2 linked regions of the Elephas maximus indicus genome follow. The protein of the gene in region 1 purifies or fractionates together with the protein of each later gene. This does not show direct contact. Links are inferred from orthologs where the notes say so. Each region holds a gene or a part of one and is shown in the gene's direction. Other genes may lie near its edges.

What was found. Proteins that work in one complex are often made in the same cells at the same time.
Region 2: the proteins of HNRNPC (region 1) and CRNKL1 purify together in Homo sapiens (co-immunoprecipitation; 3 studies listed by BioGRID and IntAct, with this or other methods). This does not show direct contact. The link is inferred for Elephas maximus indicus from reciprocal best matches to the Homo sapiens genes HNRNPC and CRNKL1.

The regions. Positions count from the first base shown.
Region 1 is NC_064828.1:31,625,225-31,632,931, reverse strand, and holds the start of HNRNPC (heterogeneous nuclear ribonucleoproteins C1/C2), read left to right. Parts: upstream 1-4,690; 5' UTR 4,691-4,839; intron 4,840-5,495; 5' UTR 5,496-5,541; intron 5,542-7,707. UniProt on the Homo sapiens protein: Binds pre-mRNA and nucleates the assembly of 40S hnRNP particles. Interacts with poly-U tracts in the 3'-UTR or 5'-UTR of mRNA and modulates the stability and the level of translation of bound mRNA molecules. Single HNRNPC tetramers bind 230-240 nucleotides.
Region 2 is NC_064843.1:61,128,860-61,136,019, reverse strand, and holds the start of CRNKL1 (crooked neck-like protein 1), read left to right. Parts: upstream 1-4,145; 5' UTR 4,146-4,252; coding exon 4,253-4,303; intron 4,304-5,283; coding exon 5,284-5,436; intron 5,437-6,463; coding exon 6,464-6,555; intron 6,556-7,160. UniProt on the Homo sapiens protein: Involved in pre-mRNA splicing process. As a component of the minor spliceosome, involved in the splicing of U12-type introns in pre-mRNAs.

The DNA.
Region 1 (7,707 bases):
TATTAGGGCAAATAATAACTACGAAAAGCGTTTGAGAAGAGGTGTAGAGCTTGAAGACCAAGAATGTTATATTGTTTTGTGACATACCTGGTGTTTAGGTCAGTGCCTGGAGTATGTAAACATTTAAACTATTGGTTAATTAAATAACCAATTGAACTAATCATCATACATCTTATAAAAATAATTAATTGGGACTTGGGTTTTAAAGGATGGTTGAACTATGGGGAAGGAGAACAATAGCTTGGGAAATTGGAGTGAGGAAAGCAGGGCCTGCCTAGGCCAGGGTTCTTATAGAGGGGATAAAATTGATTGGTAATGAGGGGTGGCGGCACCACGGGTCCAACAGAATTCTCGCCTTCCATGTGGGAGGCTGGTGTTCCGCTCTGGGCCGAAGCGCTTCATGCACAGCCGCCGCCCATCTGTCAGTGGAGGCTTGCATGGTGCTACGATGCTGAGCAGGTTTCACCAGAGCTTCCAGGTTCAGTCAGACTAGGAAGAAAGGCCTGCTAAACTACTTCTGAAAATCAGCCAGTGGAAATCCTATGGATCACAATAGTCTGATCTGTATCAAGGAGGGGCCGGTCAGGGAAGAGCTCAGAATGAAACAATATAAATTTAGGATTGGAATGTAGAGCTATTACAGGATTCTGGTGTGGGAGTCACATAATAAAAATGATCCAGATGATCACCATGGCAGCAGTTCCATGGCAGCAGTTTGCAGAATCAGTATGGAAGGCAGACTAAATGTGGGACCCAAAGGTAAGGGTCTTGAAAGTGGTGTGTAATACCTTCAACATGTTTTCATGTAGAATATGGGTGCCTGTAGAAGATAGCTTGCAAACAGTCAGATTATTGTTAGCTGCCAACAAGATAGTCTGCAATTCACAGTGACCCCATGTATGACAGAACAAAATGCTGCCTGGTCCTGTGCCATCCCCACGACTGACTGCAGATGGAACTGTTGTGATCCATAGGGTTTCCATTGGCTGACTTTTCAGGGGTAGATCTCCAGGCCTTTCCTCCTAGTCTGTCCTAGTCTGTCAGCTCTGCTGAAACCTGTTCAGCATCATAGCAACACACAAGCCTCCACGGACAGATAGGTGGTGGTTGCACATGGTATGCATTGGCTGGGAGTTGAACCTAGGTTTCCTGCATGAAAGGGGAGAATTCTACCACTGAATCACCAATGCCCTCAAACAGTCAGAAAGGCCTCCAAACTACAATAAAGAAATATAAAGAGTGTCGGGTAAAATAAGACAGCTCTGTGAAATTTTAATTACGTTCTTTTTCTGAGTTCATCGGAGACTACCTCCTCACTCTTCAGTGGAAGATGCTTATGACATTGTTGGACAATGGAAGATATAGAAGAACAGAGGCAATGATGATTGTCCTGGAATGCGATAGGTGACTAGGTAGGCTCAGGGTGTGTAGGATGATGGATATTGAGGACAATATCCAGCTAACGACTCAGGTAAAAAGTAAATTAGGCATTTCATAGCCGTTGATGCTTTTCCTTTCTTCTTCTTGACTAATGGCTTGGAACTGGTAGTGGGGAGAGGGAATATGTATTATTCTGGTAATACATCTAAGCCACTTGAAGCTTTCTTTGAACAAAATTATTTCTTGAAGTAGAAACAAAAGTTCAGTTTTGTTTTGACTTCTCTTTAGACCAAGATAAGGACTTACTGCTTCTCTGTTGCCTTACCTCTTTTCTCTCCTTCCACTGCTGAAGTGTGGAACTATTCTGGAGTATAGAATAGAAAAGTATACACAGCTACCCAACAGGAGCATTTAACTTTAGAAGCTTTTAACTGTGAGGGTGTTTAGAGTCAGCACAAGGGGTCAAGGCAATTCCCTGCTCTCTACCTTACTTGCCTAGGTTTAAGAGCACCAAAAACCAAAGTCATGAATATTTGTCATCATATTTGGCAGTTAACATTCTGCCTTGTACTGTGCTATTTTTGCACTTGTTTTCTCATTCCTAGTAAATTCTAAGTTACTCGATGGAAGGACTGGCTATTAATTCTTCTTGTATCTGCCATTTCCACTCTACCTAGCATGGGGTAAACTCCTTGAAAACATGCATGCTGTCTCCTAAGCACCTCTTTTGCACCATATACAGTGCTGGTTAATAAGTAGGTCATGACAAAGATCATGCAATAAAACTGATATCTGGTAAAAAATAAAAATAGGTAGTTTTTATTAACATAAACTTTTTTTTTGAGAAAAACGAGTAATAAAACACGTTAGTGCTTTTTTGTTTGTTTGTTTACTTAAGTCAAATTACATGATTTACGTGTCATATCCTGGTGGTGTAACAGTTAAATGCTATGCCTGCTAACCAAAGGGTTAGTAGTTCGAATCCGCCAGATGCTCCTTGGAAACTCTATGGGGGCAGTTCTACTCTGTCCTATGAGTCAGTTGCTATGGGTCGGAATCGACTCTATGGCAACGGGTTGGGTTTGGTTTGGTTTGGTTTACAGGGCTCAAAGCCTCTGGGCCCCTCTGAGTGAGTGCTAGATAAGATATGTAAGAGAGAGGACAGTCTACCTGCTTGTCCTGGGAAAATAGCAATTTCCCCCTCCTTAATAAAAAAAAAATAAAAAATAATAATTTTTTTTTAATAAAAGGTAATTAAATTAATACATATTTAAACACTTTCTGTTTAAGGCATTGTGACAAGTAGTAAGCAAGGTGGACTACAGAGAGGAGTAAGAATTAAACCCTGCCATTAAAAAAGGTTACCACCCAACAAGAAGAACAGACAAGTGTAAAATTAACTACAGTACCTCAGAGTTTTAGATAAATTTCAATGTGACAATTGAACTGAGGCTTTAAGCACTTGTAGGATTTTTCCCTTGATTTTTTGTTCAAACTAGACAATTTGGAAAATATAGAAAAGCACAAGTAAAAAAAAAAATCACATGTAATTATCCCACCAGGAGAGAACCACTATTAACGTTTTAGTGTATTTTTTCTTTCATGGCTTTTATTTTTGATTTTCTAACTAGCTTAAAGTAATACGTGCATATGGTAAAACATTCAAATTGTATACAAAGGGAGATCAATGAAAAAGGTAAACAAGTTTCTTTCCCCAAACGTAACAGCTAACTTTCCTGTAAATTTCTCTGAATTCAGAATTCAAAACTAATGTATGAAACAGCATCTACACAGATATAAAAAAAAAAATTTTTTTTTATGTATCCCTTTAAAATGTATACAAATAGAATCACTCATCTAGACAGTTTTCTGTATCTTGCTTTTTCCAATAAATAACAGAAATATGATCCTTCCCTAACAGCACATACAAATCTCCCTGTTTTAGTAGTCCTACTCCATTGTGTGCCTGGCTGCTATAATTTAGTCAGGCGGCAGGCAATGGGGGGGGGGGGGTGGGCGTAAAATAGGATGAGGGTTATTAAGAGACCAGTTACTCAAACAGCCAGACCCAAAAAAAAAAAAACCAAACCCACTGCCATCGAGTCGATTCGGATTCGGACTCATGGCGACCCTATAGAACAGAGTAGAACTGCCCTATAGGGTTTCCAAGGAGCGCCTGGCGGATTTGAACTGTCAACTTCTTGGTTAGCAGCCGTAGCACTTAACCACTACACCACCAGGGTTTCCCAAAGAGACAGAGGAGTAGGCTAATTTGGTTTACACGCAGGCTATTATTAGTGAGATAAGGCTTGGGGACAGAGATGGGTGCTCTAGTATCCCAGGCCAGCATTTTACACTTCACTTGCTTGATGTATTGGAGAGAAATTAAGAAGTCAGCTGGCTTGGGAGGGTGTTTGGTGCGAAAGCCTAAGTGCTCCAACCATAAGGTTGGCGGTTGGAACCCACCTAGAGATGCCACAGAAGAAAGGCCTGGCGATCTGTTTCCAAAAGCTCAGTCTTGAAAACCCTATGGAAGGCAACTGTAACACATGGCGTCGCCATGAGTCAGGACTTGATGGCAACTGGTACTGGTATGCGTCGTCCGAACAAGGGCTTGATGGGCTGAGACGTGGAGATGTCCTTGAGGCAGCTGAAATTCCAATCTGGTACTGAGATTGCGGTTGGGAGAAACCTGCAGGCGAGCAGGACTGATTAGTTTTCTACACACTTTACCACAGCCTAGTCATCACGGCTCCTTTTCACTCTAGAAAACGCCCTTTAGCCACACACGCGAGGGAAGCTTCACTTGGTGTTTTTCTTTTTCCTAGGCCCGGGGCTACGGTAGATTTGCCGTGCAAGGCGGAGCCACCGAGGAAAGCTTGCCGTTCGCGCCAGCTACCTGACTACGCCCCTCACCCCTACTCCGCCCCCGCGCCCGGGAACTCGGAGATCTGGGCGGGCCTTTTACTGGGCGCTCTAGGAGACTGCGATAGGATACTGAGACCGTCAATCAAACTTGCCGGATACCCGGATGTGAAGCGGTGCGCGATACAAAGGCGAGTTTCCACCCGGCGGTACAGTGGCCAATAAGCATGCCTCAAGTGATAAATGACAGGAAAAGTAACCAGTTACAAAGTAGTTTCGCTCACGCATGTGGAAATTCTCTTGCTCGGTCTAACCCACTGCAAGTTGTGATTGGATAGAATTGTGAAGAGCAGTAGAAATGTCTTATTAGGAGAGGGAGCGAGACAGGGAACAGCCAATAAGAAGGTTCCTAGAAGTGAGGCGGGGGCTAGGTCTTCGCCTCCGCGGCAGAGGAGACTCGGGGGCCATTTTGTGAAGAGGCGAAGACAGAGCGGTTGCGGCCGCGTTGCCGACCTCGAGCAGCAGTCGGCTTCTTCACGTAGAATCTGGGAGTAGGAGATTGATAATCGAATCTCTTCTCCCAACCCCCTCCTGGTAAGTGGAGGCGGCGGCCGCAGTGGTGACACTGGGTTCCTCGAGGAGCGCGAGGGGGTGTGGGAAAAGAGACGAGGGAACCCTTCCTTCGGTAACCAGGCCCCCATTTATTCCATGTGTCCTGGGGGATTAGGTTTTATGCGGGAGGGAGTTTTGCAGGTCTCAGCCGCTGCGTAGATTTCACCTACAGTCCTCTAGGCCTCGACCGGCAGAGAAAATGTCATTTTTCTTTTTTGCTTTCTATGTTAACGGTTGCTTTCTTTTGATTTTCTGTGACTCTGAGGACTCCCAAGAGAGACTATGAAAGTGAAGATCGAGATGGTCATTAGTATAGTTGAAGTTTGATGTAGTGCGGATGCCTTCTGTTATCTCCATCTCTTAAATTAGAAAATTGGGTGTGTGTGGTGTGGGGGAGGGTTACCAATTAGGTGTTGTACCGTGATCGTCTCAAATTCTGGAGTGTGTTGCGGGGCATAAGATAAGAATAATGAATATAGCTGTAGATTTAATTTTTTTGCTGATTATCTTTTAATTTACTACTCCCTGTGAACACATGATGGACCTTGAAGTAGTTACTTTCGATTCTATTTACAAAAGAAAATCGAATTAACAATAACAGTAATAATTACAGCTGATTTACTACTTTTTATCTGCAGGTTACAATTGACTTGAAATACATAAGTTAGTGGAACTTTGCTTGAGGTAGGTATTACTGTTTTTCTCAGAGAAACAGGCATAAGAGCGTTGGCAGGGTCGTTAAATCAGTAGTGAAACTAGTACTTGTAAGGAATTTGATTACTAGGTCAGTCGTTTTACGTAGTTACTGGCATGCTGGTTACTAAACAGTACTATATTTGAATCTTTATAAGAACCACATTACAAAGTCTATTGGTAGGGAGTTGTAAATTCCAAACTGCACTTGAGAAAAATATTTAATTACGAGAATTGGATTTGTAATTAATGTAACTTCCTAAGATGACAAACTTAAAATTCGACTTCCAGGATATTTTGGTATTCATTTTTCTATCCATCTAAACTTTTGTGGCAAAAATGCACCATTAATACTTTTTATTAAGCAAGTATTGTAGTGCCTGCGATTTGCTAGGTGCTGAAACAGTATTTGAAAAATTTACTAAGTTTATAGAAGTGGCAGATTTTTAAGTATCCCATTCACTTACCCAGAAAATCGTTTATCTTTGTGTAAGATTGAGTTGATTTAGTCAAAATGTTTAACTCACAGAAAAACTAATGTTAAGTACACTTTTAACCAATATCGAAGGGTAAGAAATTCATCTCTCAGGAAACCTATTTGTTGGAAAGTAAAAATAGTCTTATTCCAGATAGATGTGCATTTGCAGATTCCTCACCATGTAAATACTGAAAATTCTATAATAGGGTTACATGGGATCAAAAGCATTTTGTAAAAATGCCTAAGAATTTACATTATACATGGGCTTAGACTAAAGTTTATCACTTTGCTGAACTGTCAGAAATAAGATAAGGCCAGTGATTGATTAATTTAGGAACTCTGATAAAAGTACTGTTGGCAAATGAAATCTCAGGAATTTTTAACGTTTTAGAAAGGTTATTGTTAAGAGTTGAAATTAATTGAAGGACACTTGTCTTGACTTGAGGTGTCAGAAGTAAGGGTTTCTTAGCATCTTCATGTACCAAGCTAACAAAAATTCCTTTGAGTTCATATCCTTTAGAAAGTATTTGGCCACAGAATTAAAATCTGAAACAAAATATAGATGTGTTCTCAACTAGATAGACATTAGTAACATTTTCATGTTGGGCTAGGTAGAGGAAGAGGGATGACTAAATTGTGGGTCTTTCTGGTAGTTTTGTGCTCCCTATGCCACTCTCCCAGTACCTGCTGCTATTCCTTGTATAGAAAGTGTAAACATAGCTTATAATTGTAATTAGATCTCTAGAGGGCTTGATGTAGCATTCAACCTCGTTTTGCCTAGAACATCAAGACTTTTCACAGTAGTTTTCAAATATGAGCAGGTGAGCTGGTTAAAGGAGTTTGTTGGGCCCCACCACCCGAGTTAAGTCATTCTAAGGCGGGGCCTGAGAATTTGCATTTCTAACAAGCGACAGGTGATAATGATGCTCATGGGATTGGTTGACACACTTCATTCTGAGAATTCCAGTAGAAGAAGGAATCCAAACCTCGCTGAAGTTTGACAAAGTATAATCTAGGTATGCTCTTAATTGCAAAGCATCAGGATTAGGTGCTAATGTTTTTTTTTTTTTTTTTAAGTGATAGTTTATCAATTTAACATACCATCATGGGAGATACTTTAACTTCATACTGAAAGATGTAAATGCTTTCTTTTCTTATTGCTGTTTTTTAAGCTTCTGTCTCTTGGCACATTTGCAGAGGATTTGTTTGTGAATGAGCCGTAGTCACTTAACATAACCTGAAGATTTTGAGTACTAAGTGATGCCGAATGTTTCTCCATAACTGTACTTTCCAAACACTGACTTTCCCAAATAACATTCAGATGTACATTTCCTACAGTTTGTACAGTTTTACATCACATTTCATACTTAAACTGCTCTCCCTCCCCTTTTTAAATTTACAGTTAAAATTTTAGAGTTACAGTACCCATTGCATTTTAATTAGTCATTCATACATAATCAACTCAAGGAACACTTAAAAAAGCTCAGTTTTAAGTTTTTTAGTTTCTTCAAGTTTGTGTAGGAGAATAAGACTTAATGGTTTAATATTGAGTGCAGCCAATCATTCTTATTTGAAAAGTGACCTAATTTCAAATCTTGTTTAAGCTGTTGTAATAGTTGCCTGTATATGTTTATTTTAGTATGGTATTGTATGTCATTTTCTTAGGAGTCATACCTTGG
Region 2 (7,160 bases), on another chromosome or scaffold:
ACTTTACCAAAAGAGTAAAAATATTACCCACAGATTGGGAAAAAGTTTTTAGCTATAACATTTCTGATCAGCAGCTGATCTCTAAAATCTACATGTTACTACAAAAACTCAACTGCAAAAAGACAAATAACTCAATGAAAAAATGTGCAAAGGATATGAACAGGCACTTCACTAAAGAAGACATTCAGGTAGCCATCACACAAACAGATAAATGCACACTCATGTTCACTGCTGCACTGTTTACAATAGCAAAAAGATGGATGCAGCCAAGGTGTCCATCAATGGATAGATAAATTATGGTATATTCACACAATGGAATACTATGCATCGATAAAGAACAACAATGAATCTGTGAAACATTTCATAACATGGAGGAATTTGGAAGGCATTATGCTGAGGGATATTAGTCAATTCCAAAAGGACAAATATCGGATAAGACCACCATTACAAGAACTCAAAAAATAGTTTAAGCATAGATGAAAATATTGGTTGATGGTTACAAGAGGAGGGAGGGTAGGAGAGGGGTATTCATTAATTAGATAGTAGATAAGAACTACTTTAGGTGAAGGGAAAGACAACACACAATACAGGTGAGATCAGCACAACTGGACTAAACTAAAAGCAAAGAAATTTCCTGAATAAATTGAACGCTTCGAAGTCCAGCATAGGGTGGGGGTTTGGGGACCATGGCTCCAGGGGACATCTAAGTCAATTGGCACAATAAAATCTATTAAGAAAACATACTGCATTCCACTTTGGAGAGTGGCACCTGGGGTCTTAAATGCTAGCAACCAGCCATCTAACATGCATCAATTGGTCTCAACCCACCTGGAGCAAAGGAGAATGAAGAACACCACGGACACAAGGTAATTACCAGCCCAAGAGACAGAAAGGGCCACATAAACCAGAGACTACATCAGCCTGAGACCAGAACCAGATGGTGCCTGGGTACAATCGATGACTGCCCTGGCAAGGAACACAACAGAAAACCCCTGAGGAAGCAGGAGAGCAGTGGGATGCAGACTTCAAATTCTCGTAAAAAGACCAGACTTAATGGTTTGACTGAGACTAGAAGGACTCCGGAGGTCATGGTCCCCAGGCTTTCTCTAGCCTAAGACAGGAACCATTGCCAAAGCCAACTCTTCAGACAGGGATTGGACTGGACTATGGGATAGAAAATGATACTGGTGAAGAGCGAGCTTCTTGGATCAAGTAGACACATGAGACTATGAGGGCAGCTCCCATCTGGAGGGGAGATGGGAGGACAGAGGGGGTCAGAAGCTGACCAAATGGACACAAAAATAGAGAGTGGAGGGAAGGAGTGTGCCGTCTCATTAGTGGGAGAGCAACTAGGAGTATATAGCAAGGTGTATATAAAATTTTGTATAAGAGGCTGACTTGACTTGTAAACTTTCACTTAAAGCAAAATAAAATTAAAAAAAAAAGCTTGTGAGTGGCCATGTAAGATACAACTATTGGTCTCTACTCATCCAGAGCAAAAGAGAAAGAAGGAAACCAAAGACTCAAAGAAGAAATTAATCTACAGGACTAACAATCTACATGAACCATGGTCTCATCTACCCTGAGACCAGAAGAAATACATGGTGCCCAGTTACCACTACCAGTCATTCTTATCAGGGCCCAAATGGATGGATTCTTAGAGAACAGGAGAAAAATGTGGAACAGAGACCAAATTTTTAAAAAGTCCCAACTTACTGGACTGGTTGAGACTAGAGGATTCCCAAGACTGGCACCCTAAGAAACTCTTTAAGCCTTGAAATGAAACCATCCCCTGAGGGAAAACAGAGTGGCTCATAAAATAAAAGGAAACCCTGGTGGCATAGTGGTGCCTTTAAAAAGTCATCTATGAGACCAAATGGTCAACAATCACTCTAAACAAAGATGAAGAGGTTAGGGGGCAGGGAAACCAGATTACTGGAAACGAAATTAATAAGAATGTTGACACATTGTGAAAAATATAACTAATGAACTAATGTAACTAATATAGAAACCGTTAAATGAGAACCTAATTTGCTATGTAAACTCCCACTGAAAACGCAATAAAATATTATTTTAAAAAAATGAGGAAGAAATAAGACACCTGTGAAAATATTGACGACCTACGAAAATGTTAGAAGTTAAACAGGCACCACAAGAGAAATAGTTTCATTATGTTTTGCCCAATTAATGATTAACTGCTTAAAAAAATACTCTTGTTTTAAAAAATGAAGGTGATATAAAGACACTTTCATACAAAAAAACCTTGAGAGAGGTTACCATTCAAAGAACCCAGTTAAGAGAACTAGTAAAAGATGTATTCCAGAACGAATAAAATTAAAATCAGAAACGAGTGGAATACAAGATGCACTGCTGAGAGAAAAAAGGTAACATGCAGGTATAGCTAAATAAGCACTGATGGCAAAAAGAAAAGTAATAATAATGATAATTTTGCTTAAAAACCAGGTTGTACTAAACAAGCAGACAAAAAAAACATGTGAGAGGAAAGAATGGTGATTAGGAAGTAAAGCATTTTAAGGTGTTTGTATCTCTGAGAGGAGGCTAAAACCAAAAAAACAAACCCATTGCTATTGAGTAGATTCCAACTCATAGCCACCCTATAGTACATAGCAGAACTGCCCCATAGGGTTTCTAAGAAGGGGCTGGTGGATTCCAACTGCCAGCCTTTTGGTTAGCAGCTCAGCTCTAAACCACTGTGCCAGTGCCATTAGGGGTGATTAACTTTGTTAGATCAACTATGCATAGTTACAAATTGAAGGGAAGTCATTAAACATGTTTTTATTTTAATAGCTATTTCTTTATTTTGTTAGGTGACTTCTTTTATGATAAAAAAAATTATGATAAAAAAAATTATGATAGTGACATAAAATCTCTAACTTTTTAATGTGAGATAACTTAAAAATATTTAAGTAATATAAGTAAGTGGTACAAAGCTGTGGCAAATATTTTGATGTTTTTTAACTTAAAAATGTTTAAGTAATATAAGTAAGTGGTACAAAGCTGTGGCAAATATTTTGATGTTAGTTAATAATAACTGTAATTTAAGAAATCTGCATAAAACATTTTTTGAAAGCAGTATCTGCATAGGTAGGACATGCTTGAAATTACTACTTACATAAATATATAAATACATATTTTGGAAAACACCGAAAGAAACTTGCAACTGTCAAAATTCTCTTAACCGTTTGGCTTGCACAGAATTAATTTTTCTGTTGTTGAAGGCAGGTCAATAATTATACCAGATAGCATTATTAAGCACTTTACACAGGTTTTCTTTTTAATCCTGTGAAATAGGTATTGTTATACTTGTTTTACAGTCGAAGACCTTGAGGCTAAAATGATTTAAGAGGCACACTCGCAGAGAATTTAAACATTGGTTTATATGACCACGAGGCTGGATGGTTTGCTAGTCACTTTGCTAATTGATTTTCATTCCTTTTTTTTTTTTTTTTTAATATCTGGCTTTAAAATGTCTTCCATTATTTTAACTTCTAAGCATTAGAGTTAATTATTTGGGTTCCAAATCAAAACCAAACAGTTGCCGTCGAGTCGATTCCAACCCACAGCGACCCTACAGGACAGAGTAGAACTGCCCCATAGGGTTTCCCAGGAGCGGCTGCTGGATTCAAACTGGTGACCGTTTGATCAGCTGCCAAGCTCCTAACCACTGTGCCACCAAGGCTCTCATCTTGGGCACAACTGTCCAGAAACGAACAGGGAATGAACCTCAGGGACTACAACACCCAGAATGTAAAGCGGCGCTGGGCCGCCCAGGAACGCGGCACGTCGCCACTTGGCATGCTGGGAGTGGTAGTTTTCAGCCGGCCTCTCTTCCCCGTCCTTGAGACCTTCCAAATCGGAGCTAGCCGATGGCGCCTGGCAAAATCCACCGGCGCTGCCACTGTCATCTCAGTCCCGAAGTCCGACATGGGGATGCGCCTCGGACGCCCTAGGCCCAGTCTCCGCGTCCCTTCCTGTCAGGACGGCGCTACCCACCTCATCAGCAGCCCCAGGGCGCGCGCTCCTCCGCCAGCTCCGGGACGGACGCGCATCCCGTTACCACAGAAACGGCGCTTCCTGCGTCACGGCGCGTGCGAGAAGTCAAAGGTCAGCCAAGGTAGTTCCGCTTCCGGTTCCGGGGTTCTGCTTGTTGTCAAAAATCTTTGGTGGTGTCGGCCAGCCCTCCAGGCAACTTCGGGGATTCAGGGGTCTCCGGAGGCCCGCGGCTGCAGACATGGCGGCCTCCACCGCGGCCGGAAAGCAGCGGATCCCCAAAGTGGCTAAGGTGAGCCGCTGCTACCCAGAGGCCTTTGGGGGGCGGGCGGGAGGGGGGCTAGGAAAGGGGATTCCCCCCGGCCCAGCCTCCGCGCTGCCCTGGGCGAGGGAGTGTTGTCCTGGGTTAGGCCCATGTGGCATTCAATACTTTTTGTGCCTCAATTCCCTAAATTTTTGTCGGGCACCTCTTATGTAAAAAGAGCTGCGAAGAAAACAGTAATGAGCAGAGTCGGTATAAGAGAGCACCGTCCAATGGAAGTATAATGCGAGCCACTTACATAATTTTCAATACTCTTGTACCCACGTTAAAACATCAAAAATGAAATTAATGTTAATTGTTTAATCCAGTGTACCGAAATATTGTCATTTCGACACGTAATATTAAAAATTTTTGGTGGGGTAGTTTACTTTTTTTTTTTTTCCTTCATACTAAGTCTTCGAAATTTCCAGTCTCAATCTGGACTCCCCACAGGTGGCTTGTGACTAGCATGTTGGACAGCAGAGCTCTAAGACCTCACAAAGTTCACAGTCTAATGACGGGAACTTACTGAATATTGTCTTTGACTTGAAATAATATTAAAAATCAAACTGTTCTTTACCAAGGGCATTGAGATAAGTTGAAGAATCCCATAAGTGGAGGTTATAATAAGGAGCCCTGGTGGCACAGTGGTTAAGCACTTGGCTGCTAACCAGAAAGTCACAGTTCAAGGCTACCAACCACTCCATAGGAGAAAGATGTGGCAGTCTATTTCTGTAAAGATTACAGTCTTGGAAACCCTATGGGGGAGTTCTATTCTGTCCTATAGGGTCACTATGAATCAGAATGTAAGAGAAAAACAGGTTTTTTTTCTCTTCAGGCTCATAGAGAAACGGGAACATGTCATAATCAGGCTGTCTTGTAATAATGCTTATGAAGATCATAAGCTAAAAAGTGTTCATTTGTTTTGTAAACCTTGAGCACCTATATAGAAATGTCATTTGTCTTAAAAGGTGAAAAACAAAGCCCCGGCTGAGGTACAGATAACTGCTGAGCAGCTCCTAAGAGAAGCTAAAGAAAGAGAACTTGAGCTTCTTCCACCTCCACCTCAACAGAAGATCACAGATGAAGAAGAGTTAAACGATTACAAACTAAGGAAAAGGAAGGTCAGTCAATGTGTTACATTTCAGAGAGCCTATTAATATTGTTAGGAATTTATAGATCAGAATTTTAAAAGCTCCTCATTGATTAGAGAGTCTGTAAGATAAGAAGTTAGTGTTTCTAGCCATATGAATAATATAACTTCTGGTTACCAGATAATTGCATTTTGCTAAACTATCTAAATATGCCATGAGTTGTCTGTTTTAAAGCATAAAGGAATTAAATCCACCAGAAAGATAATTTTTGGTGCTACATTGAAGATGGAGCCCTGGTGGCATAGTGGTTAAGAGCTCAGCTGCTGAGCAAAAGGTCAACGCTCCAAATCCACCAGTCACCGCTTGGAAAATGGGGCAGTTCTCCTCTACCTGTAGGGTCGCTATGAATCGGAACCAAATTGACGGCACCTAACAACAACAACATTGAAGATAGGTGGAATTTTAACTGATGGAAACAACTGGCAGCCGTAAAAGGGAGTACTAGCAAGAAGGGCATACTAGTAAGGCTGCATCCTGGTCTTCTGTCTGTGCCACCTTCTGTGTTAATAGTTAAGACCTGGGAAAGGGCTAGGAAGACGCTTTGGGATATGATCTGACTTTCCCACCCTAAAATGTGGGATTGTTTTAAACCACTAAGCCTGTCATGTGTGCTTATTAGATATTTTCAATGAGTTATACATGAAGTTCTTAGACGTTACCAAGAAGACTTAAAGGTAATAGTCAAAAACATTTTCTTATTAGGAATACGTATAGGCTGAAGTATCAGTTAGTTGTCATAGGCAACAGGAGAAAATATCAATAATTACACTAATCTTTATATCTAAGATTTCACTTTCTTTGCATATAAGACTTCAAAGAAACACCTGTGATTCTTATCTTCTTTAGTGGGCTTTTTATTCTTCAAGGATTCCTGGATGTCATTTCTCTTAAATAAGAGTAGAATGAATGGCTTTTTTAATACAAGGATTAATAAACAAAGGATTATATCATTTTTAGCTGTCTTCCCTCTAGCTTGACGCTTTTTGCATTTCTCCAGACTTTTGAAGATAACATAAGGAAAAACAGAACCGTGATTAGTAACTGGATAAAGTATGCACAATGGGAAGAGAGTCTGAAGGAGATCCAGAGGTAAAATTAATGAGAGAGTGATTTTTTTATGTGTCATGGGCTAACAGATACAAAAAATTAGAAAAAATTAAAGCCCAGGTAAAGGTTGTGTCCCTCGTGGTTTTCCCGCGGGTTCTTTTCGTGGGCCTTGGGCAGTATGGACGGGTGGCCTACGGGAGATGGCAGCAGGAGCCTACACAGGTGGACGTCACCACCATCACAGCCTCTGTAACCAGAGAAGCTCAGTGTCAGCTGCTTTCTATACACTGAGAGTTTTTTAAAATTCCACTGAAATCCAGTAGCCAATAGGATAAAAATCTGAGTGCAATCTGTCATCATGACCTGGTCCTCCCTGTCATCTAGCCTCTCCCCGTTCTCTCAGCGTACCCTCTGATCCCACTGTACTTGCCATGCCCTGAACACTTCATGGCTCTTACCTGGGCGCTTGGCTGGCCTCCTGGTAAACAGACATTTTACTCACATTCTCAATTCTGAAGTTACCTACTACTTAGCCTTTCCCACCAGACATTTTCATTTGTTCGCTCTGCTTCCTTGGGCACAATTATCACATTATAATTACATGCCTGTCGGTCTTTTTATGAGACTTTGTAAGATTCCTGAGAACA